Drosophila melanogaster: one gene and its partners. The protein of the gene in region 2 binds, or shares a complex with, the protein of the main gene of each other region. Each region holds a gene or a part of one and is shown on either strand. Other genes may lie near its edges. The genes, in order: Ada1-2, Spt20 and Ada1-1.

The links.
Region 1: Spt20 (region 2) and Ada1-2 share a complex: the UniProt entries of both Drosophila melanogaster proteins name them as parts of the spt-Ada-Gcn5 acetyltransferase (SAGA) complex.
Region 3: Spt20 (region 2) and Ada1-1 share a complex: the UniProt entries of both Drosophila melanogaster proteins name them as parts of the spt-Ada-Gcn5 acetyltransferase (SAGA) complex.

Annotation. Positions count from the first base shown.
Region 1 is NT_033779.5:11,991,107-11,994,576, reverse strand, and holds Ada1-2 (transcriptional adaptor 1-2), read right to left. Parts: upstream 1,676-3,470; 5' UTR 1,585-1,675; coding exon 785-1,584; intron 721-784; coding exon 594-720; 3' UTR 523-593; downstream 1-522. Other genes in the region: CG18789 (uncharacterized protein), read left to right, coding at 1-511; escl, read right to left, coding at 2,103-3,002, 3,058-3,247, 3,306-3,470. UniProt on the Drosophila melanogaster protein: Component of the transcription regulatory complex SAGA, a multiprotein complex that activates transcription by remodeling chromatin and mediating histone acetylation and deubiquitination. The SAGA complex predominantly acetylates histone H3.
Region 2 is NT_037436.4:13,500,841-13,504,595, reverse strand, and holds the start of Spt20 (Spt20), read right to left. Parts: upstream 1,890-3,755; 5' UTR 1,248-1,889; coding exon 1,212-1,247; intron 1,141-1,211; coding exon 199-1,140; intron 141-198; coding exon 1-140. Other genes in the region: Tgi (Tondu-domain-containing growth inhibitor), read right to left, coding at 2,541-3,313, 3,382-3,696. UniProt on the Drosophila melanogaster protein: Component of the transcription regulatory complex SAGA, a multiprotein complex that activates transcription by remodeling chromatin and mediating histone acetylation and deubiquitination. The SAGA complex predominantly acetylates histone H3.
Region 3 is NT_033779.5:11,995,043-11,998,582, reverse strand, and holds Ada1-1 (transcriptional adaptor 1-1), read right to left. Parts: upstream 1,775-3,540; 5' UTR 1,680-1,774; coding exon 880-1,679; intron 816-879; coding exon 689-815; 3' UTR 618-688; downstream 1-617. Other genes in the region: Qtzl (quetzalcoatl), read right to left, coding at 2,340-2,581, 2,640-2,769; CG18789 (uncharacterized protein), read left to right, coding at 3,266-3,342, 3,398-3,540. UniProt on the Drosophila melanogaster protein: Component of the transcription regulatory complex SAGA, a multiprotein complex that activates transcription by remodeling chromatin and mediating histone acetylation and deubiquitination. The SAGA complex predominantly acetylates histone H3.

The DNA of each region.
Region 1 (3,470 bases), on a different chromosome or scaffold from region 2:
TCAGGTGCAAGCTCAGCCAGTGAATCCTAATCCTTTCGGTGGTTTCCAACAGCAGCAGCAGCAACCACAGTCGACGGGAATCTTTGGCCAAGCCGCAAGCCAAAATATGGGCGGAATGTTTACTCAGGCTTCTCAGCAACTACAACAGCAGCAGCAGGCAGCTGCCTCCGGATTATTTGCTCAAGCAGCAGCATCTGCATTCCCTAATCAACAACAGATGCAGCAGCAGCAACAGATGCAGCAGCAGCAACAGATGCAACAGCAACAAATGCATCAGCAGCAGCAGATGCAACAGCAACAAATGCAGCAGCAGCAACAACAATTTCAAATGCAACAGCAACAGCAAATGATGCAGCAGCAGCAGCAGCAAGCTCAACCGACCAACGAAATCCAGTCCTCAGTTTACAGTCGCATGGAGGATCTCAACGAGCAGGAAATCGAAGCATTCAAGGCGGATCAATTTCTACCAGGTGCCTTGCCATTCAAACCGCCTCCACGGAATTTTTGCTGAACCAAACACTTAATGGTACACTAGCGTATAATGTATATATTTTTACAGAAGCTGATATAATAAAATAATTAGAACTTATAAGCTAATGCATCATCATATTGAGTCGTTCCATGTTTATAGAGTAGACGGCATGCGAGCCTATCAGGTTGCGATCCCGTAAGGCCAGTTGGCAGTCCTTGAGGGTGATTACTGTGCGTTCGGTGGGTTGGCTGAAAGAAACAAAACCTAAGTTTGTGTTTCACATGAAAATCTCATTATTATTCAGGAGCTTACACTTCTTCGCAGGCGGAGAGGAAGGTCACATCGTCGTTCTGTCGCCGCATAAAGTTGGCCGTATTCAGTTCCTTGTCCAGTTCCAGCGGCGTGTCGTCGACCTTCTGCCGGGTGACGGTGTTGCGCAGCGAAGGATCACGCAACGGAGCACCTACATCGTAGTAAAAGTTTCCCTCGCCGCTGGTCTTGTAGTGCTTTCGTTTCTTGATGATTGCCGATAGTAGATCCTTGAGCAGAACTTGCACGGCCATGGCAACGTACTCGGCGACATTGTCGTCCACGGAGACAAGTCCGATTTCCCAGGCACCGATCAGAAATCGTCCCATAATGAATCCCGCGTCGGGCAGGAAAAGTTCCTGCGCGCAGTACCGCTGCGACTGAAGCTGTTGCTGTTGCTGGTCCGACGGAATACCGATCGTGGTTGGCGGACGAATGATTTGCATGTTGTCCTCGGCTACAAAGTCCAGGACGTCGCTGAGCTCAAAATTAAGGCGTTCGGCGAAGGTGCGGGAACTTCTTTTGCGCCGTTTGCTTCGGTTGCCACTACTGCTGCTGGTCTGGACGGCCGGAGGATTCTCCAGGGGAGCAAAGGCGTCGATCTTGTTGAGCAGGGCGAGCAGGAACTGATTGTGCAGGTGCAGTTTGTCAGGTGTTAGGATTTTCCGCGACTCCGCATCGAATTCCTCCTTAGTCCAACGGCTCCGAAACCAATTCTTCATGTTGGCCCGGTAACGCTCCCAGTTGTCGCCCAGAGCCACCACTAGCGCCTCCTTGGTGGCCAGAACTCTGTCGGTAAGCATTTTAGTAATGGGAATAACAACTAAACAGGAAAATCCAACTGTTTGCGAATTGCTATATAAACAAATGAATGCAGCTGATTCGAGTGACCGTTCAAAGAACGGCTGAAAATACCAGATACATTTGAGATAAAAACCGTTATTTTTGAAGAACCCTTTAAAAAAATATTGGTTTTAATCTTTAGTGTTCACAGTTTTTATTGTGTACAAGTTAGTTAGTTAAAATATAAACATTAAAGATAGAGCCCACGCCATTCACACAACATAAGATGATAATATTTGCGAAGCTATTTGATCATTAAAAAAGTAATAGAATAGAATAAATATCTTGGTTAATGTTAAAAAATTTAACATAATTTAACATAAATTGTCAATACAATGAGTATTGTATATAAATGCTACGCATAATAACATACTTAATATTGAAGGTAAACATTACACTGAAAATAACTATGGTTACATAAATATGGTATCGGATTTAGAAGGATAAGGAAAATTCTTTTAGCCTAGAAACACTCATCCTAATTGACGCGATCCCATCGCCACACGGTGCTGTCGTCGCACACGCAAACTAAAATGGAACCGTCTTTGGAGAAGGAAGTCTGTCGGATGGTGGAGTTGCTTTTGGGATGAACCAGCTGGCTACACTTTGTTAAATTGGGATCATTGCAGTCCAATTCCCAGACAAATGTTGTGCCCAGTTGATTGCCCAAGGCCAGAATCTTTTGCCAGGCGTTGAAGGCGAAGCGTACGAACCAGATCTCGCACATCTTGTAGTCAAAGTGATGCAGCACCGTGGTGGCCGACTCCTGTGGCTTAATCTCATGCCACGATTCTGAAAGTTTGCCCGGCTTCCAGCAAACAATTGAGTTCTCGCAGGATTTCGAAAAGACAAAGTCGCCGAACCACTGAACGCAATCCACATAATTTCGATGTATATCCCTTGTCGAGAAGTCCGGAAAGTGCTCCTTGATCGTGGGAAACGGACCCGTATTCTTGTTGGGACTAAAACCAGAGCTCAGCTCGATGGCCTCTTTTATATCGGGCTTATCCAGTCGCCAGAGCTTCAGTGAGTGATCCATTCCACTGGACATGATGCGATCACCGCGCAAATCAAAGTCCACAGACAACACTTCGTCGCGGTGTCCTTCTACGCCGCCGAAAACCGCCACACACACGTCCGACTGAATGTTCCAAAGGCGCAGGGAGTGATCCTTGCTGCCGGACAGAAGTAACTGCGGTCTAGTCGGATGAAACTTCAGCTCGTTAATGGCGTGCCCGTGACCAATGTAGTTTTTGCTGCACTGGTGCTTAACCGGATTGAATATGCGAATGACGCCGCGGTAACCAGCCGCGGCAAGCACAGGATCGCCGGTCACAGAGTCGTAGGACCAAGCGCATGTGTAGAAACTTTCATCGGTCTAACGAGGGCGTAACGATGATGTATGTAAGTAATAGCATATGATGAGTACTTACATCTGGGTCTGCGTAGACTTGCAGCAGTCGAATGCCTTCGCAGGACTCCTGTCCGGTGCTCCTCTCGCACTCATAAATGGAAACCCGATCCTTGCCAACGGTGGCGAACACCTGCGGCTGGCCTCTGTCCAGGAACGGATTGAACTGCACTCCGAAGATCTGATGGTTGTGGTCCTCGCGGACATGGGAGCTGCAATGCATCCGGGATATAAACATTATGACTTATGTTCTGCCTGGAAAAATCACACCTATATTTGTACAAGGGCTGAACCATTTTGGGTGCCTTGATCCGCCGACACAGGCGGTTCAATTTTCGTGTATTTGGCGATTTGCTTCTGGTGGTGGTCGTAGTAGTGCTGAACAAACTGGCGGTGTCCTCCCGATCCACGGAATTAACTTCGTGCTCATCATCC
Region 2 (3,755 bases):
GGATTTAGCACCATGTGCTCGTCATAATGCAGGGCCAGCGAGTATCCCTTATTGCCGGGATACAAGTTGACCACAATCGTGTTGAGCTTCTCCCGATCCACCAACCGCTCCAGTGTAAAGGATCGAGTGCGCTGCTTTAGCTGAAAGTGATAAGAGTCCTTACATAAGGTTTCCGCTTTTGATTGGCTCAACACTTACCCCTGTCTCGGCAAAGTAGTTTAGGTCGTTGCTCAGCAGTTGCAGGTACAGGTCCCTTATTTTCTCGTGCAGATTAAAGAACTTGCTGTTGCCCGACTGGCAGACGGATGAAGGTGGCTTGCTGTTGCTATTGGAGGAGGCAGCGCCGGCGCCAGCGCGCGCTGATTGCGACGACGAGGTGGCTGTGGAGACTGATGCGGCGGGTATAGCTGAGCTGCGACTAGAGGAGCTGCTCTCCTTGCTACTGCTATTGGACTTCTGGCGCTTGCTGGGCGACGACGTGGGCGATGCCAGGACATGGTGATTGTGCGTCTGGTGGAGGTGATGATGGTGCAGGTGGTGGCCGCCTCCACTGGCTGTTGAGTTGGCGGAGGGTGGCCGCTTCTCGGACTTCTTGCTGGACACACTGGCCGCTCCCGTTGAGCTATTGCTTAGACTGGAGTTAACGCCCGGCGGTGTCGACAGCAGAAGATCGGGCACCACCGGCGACGGCGACGTGATTGAGTTGAAGTTCGACATCGTTGTGGTGGAGGATGAGCACGAGGAGGGCGACGGAGCAATTGCAGTGGGCAGGCCGCTGGGCGTGGCCGAGGTCGGCTCCGTGAGCAGGCTGCCCAGTGAGCCGCCAGTGCCCTCGGTGGGGGACTCGTCGTCATCGAAGATACAAATGGGCGGCTGGGCAGGAATCTGTGGTATAGCCTGCAATAGGCTGGTCTCCAGGTACGATTTGCTGCTCGAGGAGGCGAACTGCTGCTGCTGGAGCGTGGGATGCAGCTGATGGTAGGACTGCTGCGGCTGCAGCTGCGGCGAGGATCCAGACGTGCCGTACTGGACGAACTGCGTCTGGTGGACACCCGAACCGTGGGCGTGGACCGCTAGGCCCTGGACATGGTCCGCGTTGCTGGAACCCTTTAACTTTTTGAGCGTGTCATTTATAATAAACTGTCGAAAAATAAAGTGTAAAATGGGAATTAATCGTATTCAGGCTGCATGAAAAATGCCACAGTTCTTACGTCGGCTTCTTGGCATGAGGAGTCCAGGCTTTGCATGGTGGTGCCAGCGGATTGCTAGGGGAGATCCAACGGAGGATGGCGCACCCAATTACCGACGACATCCAAGCACCAGTCTACGAACAATCCTGGCCAGGATCGGCGGCATTCGCATTGCGCTAGCAGGTGTCCGTGTTGCCAGTGAACGTCGAATTACGAATTTCTAGGACCGCAGACGCAGGGCTCCGTTGTTGTCTCCTACTTTCGCTGGCTGCTGCTGCTGCTGCTGCTGTCCATCGGTTAGTTTCGCCACACTCAGCACTCGGCTGTGCCGCATCAGGATCGTTTTGGGGTGCTCCTCGGTCCGTCTGTGTGACGAATCGCTGCACTGGAGGACACTGAGATCGGATCCCGATGGCGATTACTGCGGTTTCTTCACTCTTTTTCCACTTCCACTGCTGCTGCTGCTTTGCGTGACATTTTCTCTCTGCGCCCCTCTGCCGACGAACTCTCTTTCTGGCGCTGCTGCTCCGTGAATTTGCAAGGTCGCGCGCTCTGCTGCGGTTATGGGGCGAACAGTGGGCTGGTTCTTTAATGATACGCCGAGGATTGCTCGCTTTTAATTGTTTTAAAACTTTGTTTTATGCTTTTTTTTGCAATGTAAATGTACTGTACGATTCGTGCCGTGCGAATGCCAACAATCGTTATCGTTCGCTGTGAATGGCATTGTCGCCGTTCCGTCTGCCGTTAGTGGTGTGTGCACATTGGCTGCCCATGCACTGTGTGCTGTTAGGCGCGCGCTGTTAACGCTCTGTTAGCCGCCCAACAGTCATTTGAAAATTCAAAATATGCAATTCAAAATCTGAAATTTTGCAGTTTATTTCCCACTTTCGGTGAATGAATAGACAGACTTTGTAGGATTGTTTACTTATGTTTAATAGGTATATTATTAAGGATTAGTCTCTACCAACTAAGCGTTAAGAATACAAAATTTTGTCACTTGTACGTATACACTTTGTCATACACATTTATCCATATATATGTAAATATTCATATATATATATATATAATTATATCCGCGCGCTAACCGTTATCAATATTCAATAAAATCATTATATCAGAAACTTGTAATACACTCGCAGTTGAAGAATTTCCGTTCACATCAGCATGAGATCTTTAAACGTTAATTGTGTAGTTTGAAATATTTATAATAAAAACAGCTCTTGAGTTGAATCGTTGAGGATCAGGGGTTGCTTTTGGGTTGGGTTGTGTTGAGTTCTGTTGGGAATTGGGATCGGGATCGGGATCGGGTTGTGTGCGGGTTGGTGGGTGATTTGCTCGCTTGCTCCTCCTCTACTCCTTGTGCCCGCCCTGCAGCTTCTTCCAAGTTTCGCCCAGCGCCTTGGCAAAGTGGTCGTCCACCGAGGCTTCAGTCTTGGTGAATATCGAGATATTCGTGGACGAGGTGGGCGAAGCGGGCGGCGTCTGCGTCGAGGAGGCAGCCACGGCCGCCAGTCCCGGTTCAGCCTTCACCCGAATGATGGCCGGCATGCTGGGCGTGGGCGTGGGAATCTGCGACGGCGTCGGATTCGGAGTTGGTGTCGGTGTCAAAGTCGGCGCCACAACGGTGGTTCCGGCTATTCCGTAAGCCGGCGGTGGAGGCGGTGGTGTGTTGTATCTCGGCGGCGTGTGGTGTGGCGTGTCCAGGATCCGCCTGCCCGCCACCGCTGCCTCCATCACCTGGCTGACGGCCGTGGGTAGCGCTGGTGCCGATCCCGTGGCCGAAGGTGGCGGCGATGGCGGCGTTTGGGTGCGATGCAGTGCCAGCGACAGGGGAAGCGGTTCCTCCTGCGGCGGCGGCAGTTCCGGCTGCAGCGATTCGGGCTCCAGAATGACCCATCCCGACTTGGCCAGCGGCGAGCGTTGCTGCTGGTAGTGCTGCGATGCCGCTGTGCTGGTTGATGAAGGCAGTCCGTAGGCCAGTGGCGAAACCTGCTGCTTAGGTGTACCACTTGGCGAGGGCGTGGGTGTTGGCGTAGGCGTCGGTGACTTCTTGGCGAACAGGGCAGCATAGTTCTCGCCCAGTGAGCGTCGGAAGTGCTCGTCAATGTCGCACATCGCCATATCTGCAAGGCAAATCAAAGCATCAGGTTAGTATGATCGTTGACACTAATGTGCATATATGACTTCTCACCTGTAGAGTGGGCCTGCTCCGGTGGTTCTCGCTTGGGTGGAGCCTGGGTAATGACGCTGGGTCGACTGTTGGCCGCGTAGTTGGTCCCAGGCAAGGGTTCGCGATAGGGTGGCGGCGGTGAGGCTCTCTGCTTCAGAGCTCCCGTCGTCACCGACATGTCAATGGGACTGTCCATGTCGCGATCCTCTCGATCCCGCTCCCGTTCCCGCTCCCTCTCGCTGTTGCCTGCCTCGTGCGGCTGGTATCCGGCACTACGCTGACGCCGCTCGCGTCGCCATTTGGTGGTGGTCAGCACCTTGGACGTCGCACGCATCTCTGCAAGGAGAAAAAAAAAGAAACATCAAGAGTCAAAAACGGTTTTCAGGAAAACGAGC
Region 3 (3,540 bases), on a different chromosome or scaffold from region 2:
GGTGCACAAAGTGTCTTTGGACAGCCACAGCAGCAACAGCTGCAGCCTGCTGCACAAGCTTTCCAAGGGGGCAACATTTTCGCCCAGGCGCAGGTTCAGGTGCAAGCTCAGCCAGTGAATCCTAATCCTTTCGGTGGTTTCCAACAGCAGCAGCAGCAACCGCAGTCGACGGGAATCTTTGGCCAAGCCGCAAGCCAAAATATGGGCGGAATGTTTACTCAGGCTTCTCAGCAACTACAACAGCAGCAGCAGGCAGCTGCCTCCGGATTATTTGCTCAAGCAGCAGCATCTGCATTCCCTAATCAACAACAGATGCAGCAGCAGCAACAGATGCAGCAGCAGCAACAGATGCAACAGCAACAAATGCATCAGCAGCAGCAGATGCAATAGCAACAAATGCAGCAGCAACAACAATTTCAAATGCAACAGCAACAGCAAATGATGCAGCAGCAGCAGCAGCAGCAAGCTCAACCGACCAACGAAATCCAGTCCTCAGTTTACAGTCGCATGGAGGATCTCAACGAGCAGGAAATCGAAGCATTCAAGGCGGATCAATTTCTACCAGGTGCCTTGCCATTCAAACCGCCTCCACGGAATCTTTGCTGAACCAAACACTTAATGGTACACTAGCGTATAATGTATATATTTTTACAGAAGCTGATATAATAAAATAATTAGAACTTATAAGCTAATGCATCATCATATTGAGTCGTTCCATGTTTATGGAGTAGACGGCATGCGAGCCTATCAGGTTGCGATCCCGTAAGGCCAGTTGGCAGTCCTTGAGGGTGATTACTGTGCGTTCGGTGGGTTGGCTGAAAGAAACAAAACCTAAGTTTGTGTTTCACATGAAAATCTCATTATTATTCAGGAGCTTACACTTCTTCGCAGGCGGAGAGGAAGGTCACATCGTCGTTCTGTCGCCGCATAAAGTTGGCCGTATTCAGTTCCTTGTCCAGTTCCAGCGGCGTGTCGTCGACCTTCTGCCGGGTGACGGTGTTGCGCAGCGAAGGATCACGCAACGGAGCACCTACATCGTAGTAAAAGTTTCCCTCGCCGCTGGTCTTGTAGTGCTTTCGTTTCTTGATGATTGCCGATAGTAGATCCTTGAGCAGAACTTGCACGGCCATGGCAACGTACTCGGCGACATTGTCGTCCACGGAGACAAGTCCGATTTCCCAGGCACCGATCAGAAATCGTCCCATAATGAATCCCGCGTCGGGCAGGAAAAGTTCCTGCGCGCAGTACCGCTGCGACTGAAGCTGTTGCTGTTGCTGGTCCGACGGAATACCGATCGTGGTTGGCGGACGAATGATTTGCATGTTGTCCTCGGCTACAAAGTCCAGGACGTCGCTGAGCTCAAAATTAAGGCGTTCGGCGAAGGTGCGGCAACTTCTTTTGCGCCGTTTGCTTCGGTTGCCACTACTGCTGCTGGTCTGGACGGCCGGAGGATTCTCCAGGGGAGCAAAGGCGTCGATCTTGTTGAGCAGGGCGAGCAGGAACTGATTGTGCAGGTGCAGTTTGTCAGGTGTTAGGATTTTCCGCGACTCCGCATCGAATTCCTCCTTAGTCCAACGGCTCCGAAACCAATTCTTCATGTTGGCCCGGTAACGCTCCCAGTTGTCGCCCAGAGCCACCACTAGCGCCTCCTTGGTGGCCAGAACTCTGTCGGTAAGCATTTTAGTATTGGGAATAACAACTAAACAGGAAAATCCAACTGTTTGCGAATTGCTATATAAACAAATGAATGCAGCTGATTCGAGTGACCGTTCAAAGAACGGCTGAAAATACCAGATACATTTGAGATAAAAACCGTTATTTTTGAAGAACCCTTTAAAAAAATATTGGTTTTAATCTTTAGTGTTCACAGTTTTTATTGTGTACAAGTTAGTTAGTTAAAATATAAACATTAAAGATAGAGCCCACGCCATTCACACAACATAAGATGATAATATTTGCGAAGCTATTTGATCATTAAAAAAGTAATAGAATAGAATAAATATCTTGGTTAATGTTAAAAAATTTAACATAATTTAACATAAATTGTCAATACAATGAGTATTGTATATAAATGCTACGCATAAGAACATACTTAATATTGAAGGTAAACATTACACTGAAAATAACTATGGTTACATAAATATGGTATCGGATTTAGAAGGATAAGGAAAATTCTTTTAGCCTAGAAACACTCATCCTAATTGACGCGATCCCATCGCCACACGGTGCTGTCGTCGCACACGCAAACTAAAATGGAACCGTCTTTGGAGAAGGAAGTCTGTCGGATGGTGGAGTTGCTTTTGGGATGAACCAGCTGGCTACACTTTGTTAAATTGGGATCATTGCAGTCCAATTCCCAGACAAATGTTGTGCCCAGTTGATTGCCCAAGGCCAGAATCTTTTGCCAGGCGTTGAAGGCGAAGCGTACGAACCAGATTTCCGTAGAAATTGGTCAGATAGGGGAGCATAGCGTCCAATACACGTGGGTCCATTGGAGTGGTGGCCTGGGCATCCAGGTAAAGTGGTCTACCCTCGGTCTGTTCGTTCTTTATGTTGAATCGCACCTGTCTCTCCCGGAATTCTACGAACGAATACGATTTTGGTAAGCGGTAACTGTGCATCTTGGAGGATCCGCTTACCTTTGGATGTGGCGGCTGGTTTAGCCGCTGTCCTGGAGGAGGTGGCCTCGTGTCTAACCACATTGGCTAATGCATTCGTCGCCCGGGAGCGGAGGACCTGCGCCTGGATGCGTCCCAGCACTTTTTGCATTCTGATGGAATCCTAGAAATTCTGGTGTTAAAATTCGTTATCACGGATTTCACAATCAGTGGGACCGTATTCGGCGGCACGAGATATACCAAAGGACTCCGGAATTCACTTTAAAATTATCTGATTCGATTATGCAGAAGCAAGTTTCTGAATTTCTTTGAACATATGAAAAATGAATAGCATCTGTGCAAGAAACCAATATTTTTCAGATATATTCGCACTTAATGTATAATTTACAAGGAACTATATTTTCAAAAACCAGTTTTCATCTTAAATATGTTTGCTTACAAAATTATCTTAATCATTCAGCGAACTTAAGTTACGAATTCACGAAATTGCGCGCATAGGCACGGTATATTTTTCTCAGTGAGCCATAAAATACTCAAAGAATACTCAATACGCAAAGTAAGACAATTATAAACAAAAGTACAAAAGTTGAAGCAGTTTTGAAATAATAAATATAGGAAATAGGCAAAAATTAAAATCAAATTTAAATATGGTTGTCTGCCGGTTCTTTCAACAAGGCTCCTGCCGCTATGGCGCAAAGTGCAACAACGAGCATTTCGATGTTAAGTGAGTACATTGATATTAAAACTATGCAGATGAACTAATAACTTAATTATTTTAGGCAATATCTCAAAGCCGACATGGAATCCAGCCTCAATGGCAAGATGTGGCCTTTGTCCGCCTACGGACCCTTTAAGGACAAAGCGAATTTCCCCAACTTTATTCAGGACCAATCCTTCGAGGAGGTGCGGTTCATGTGTTACG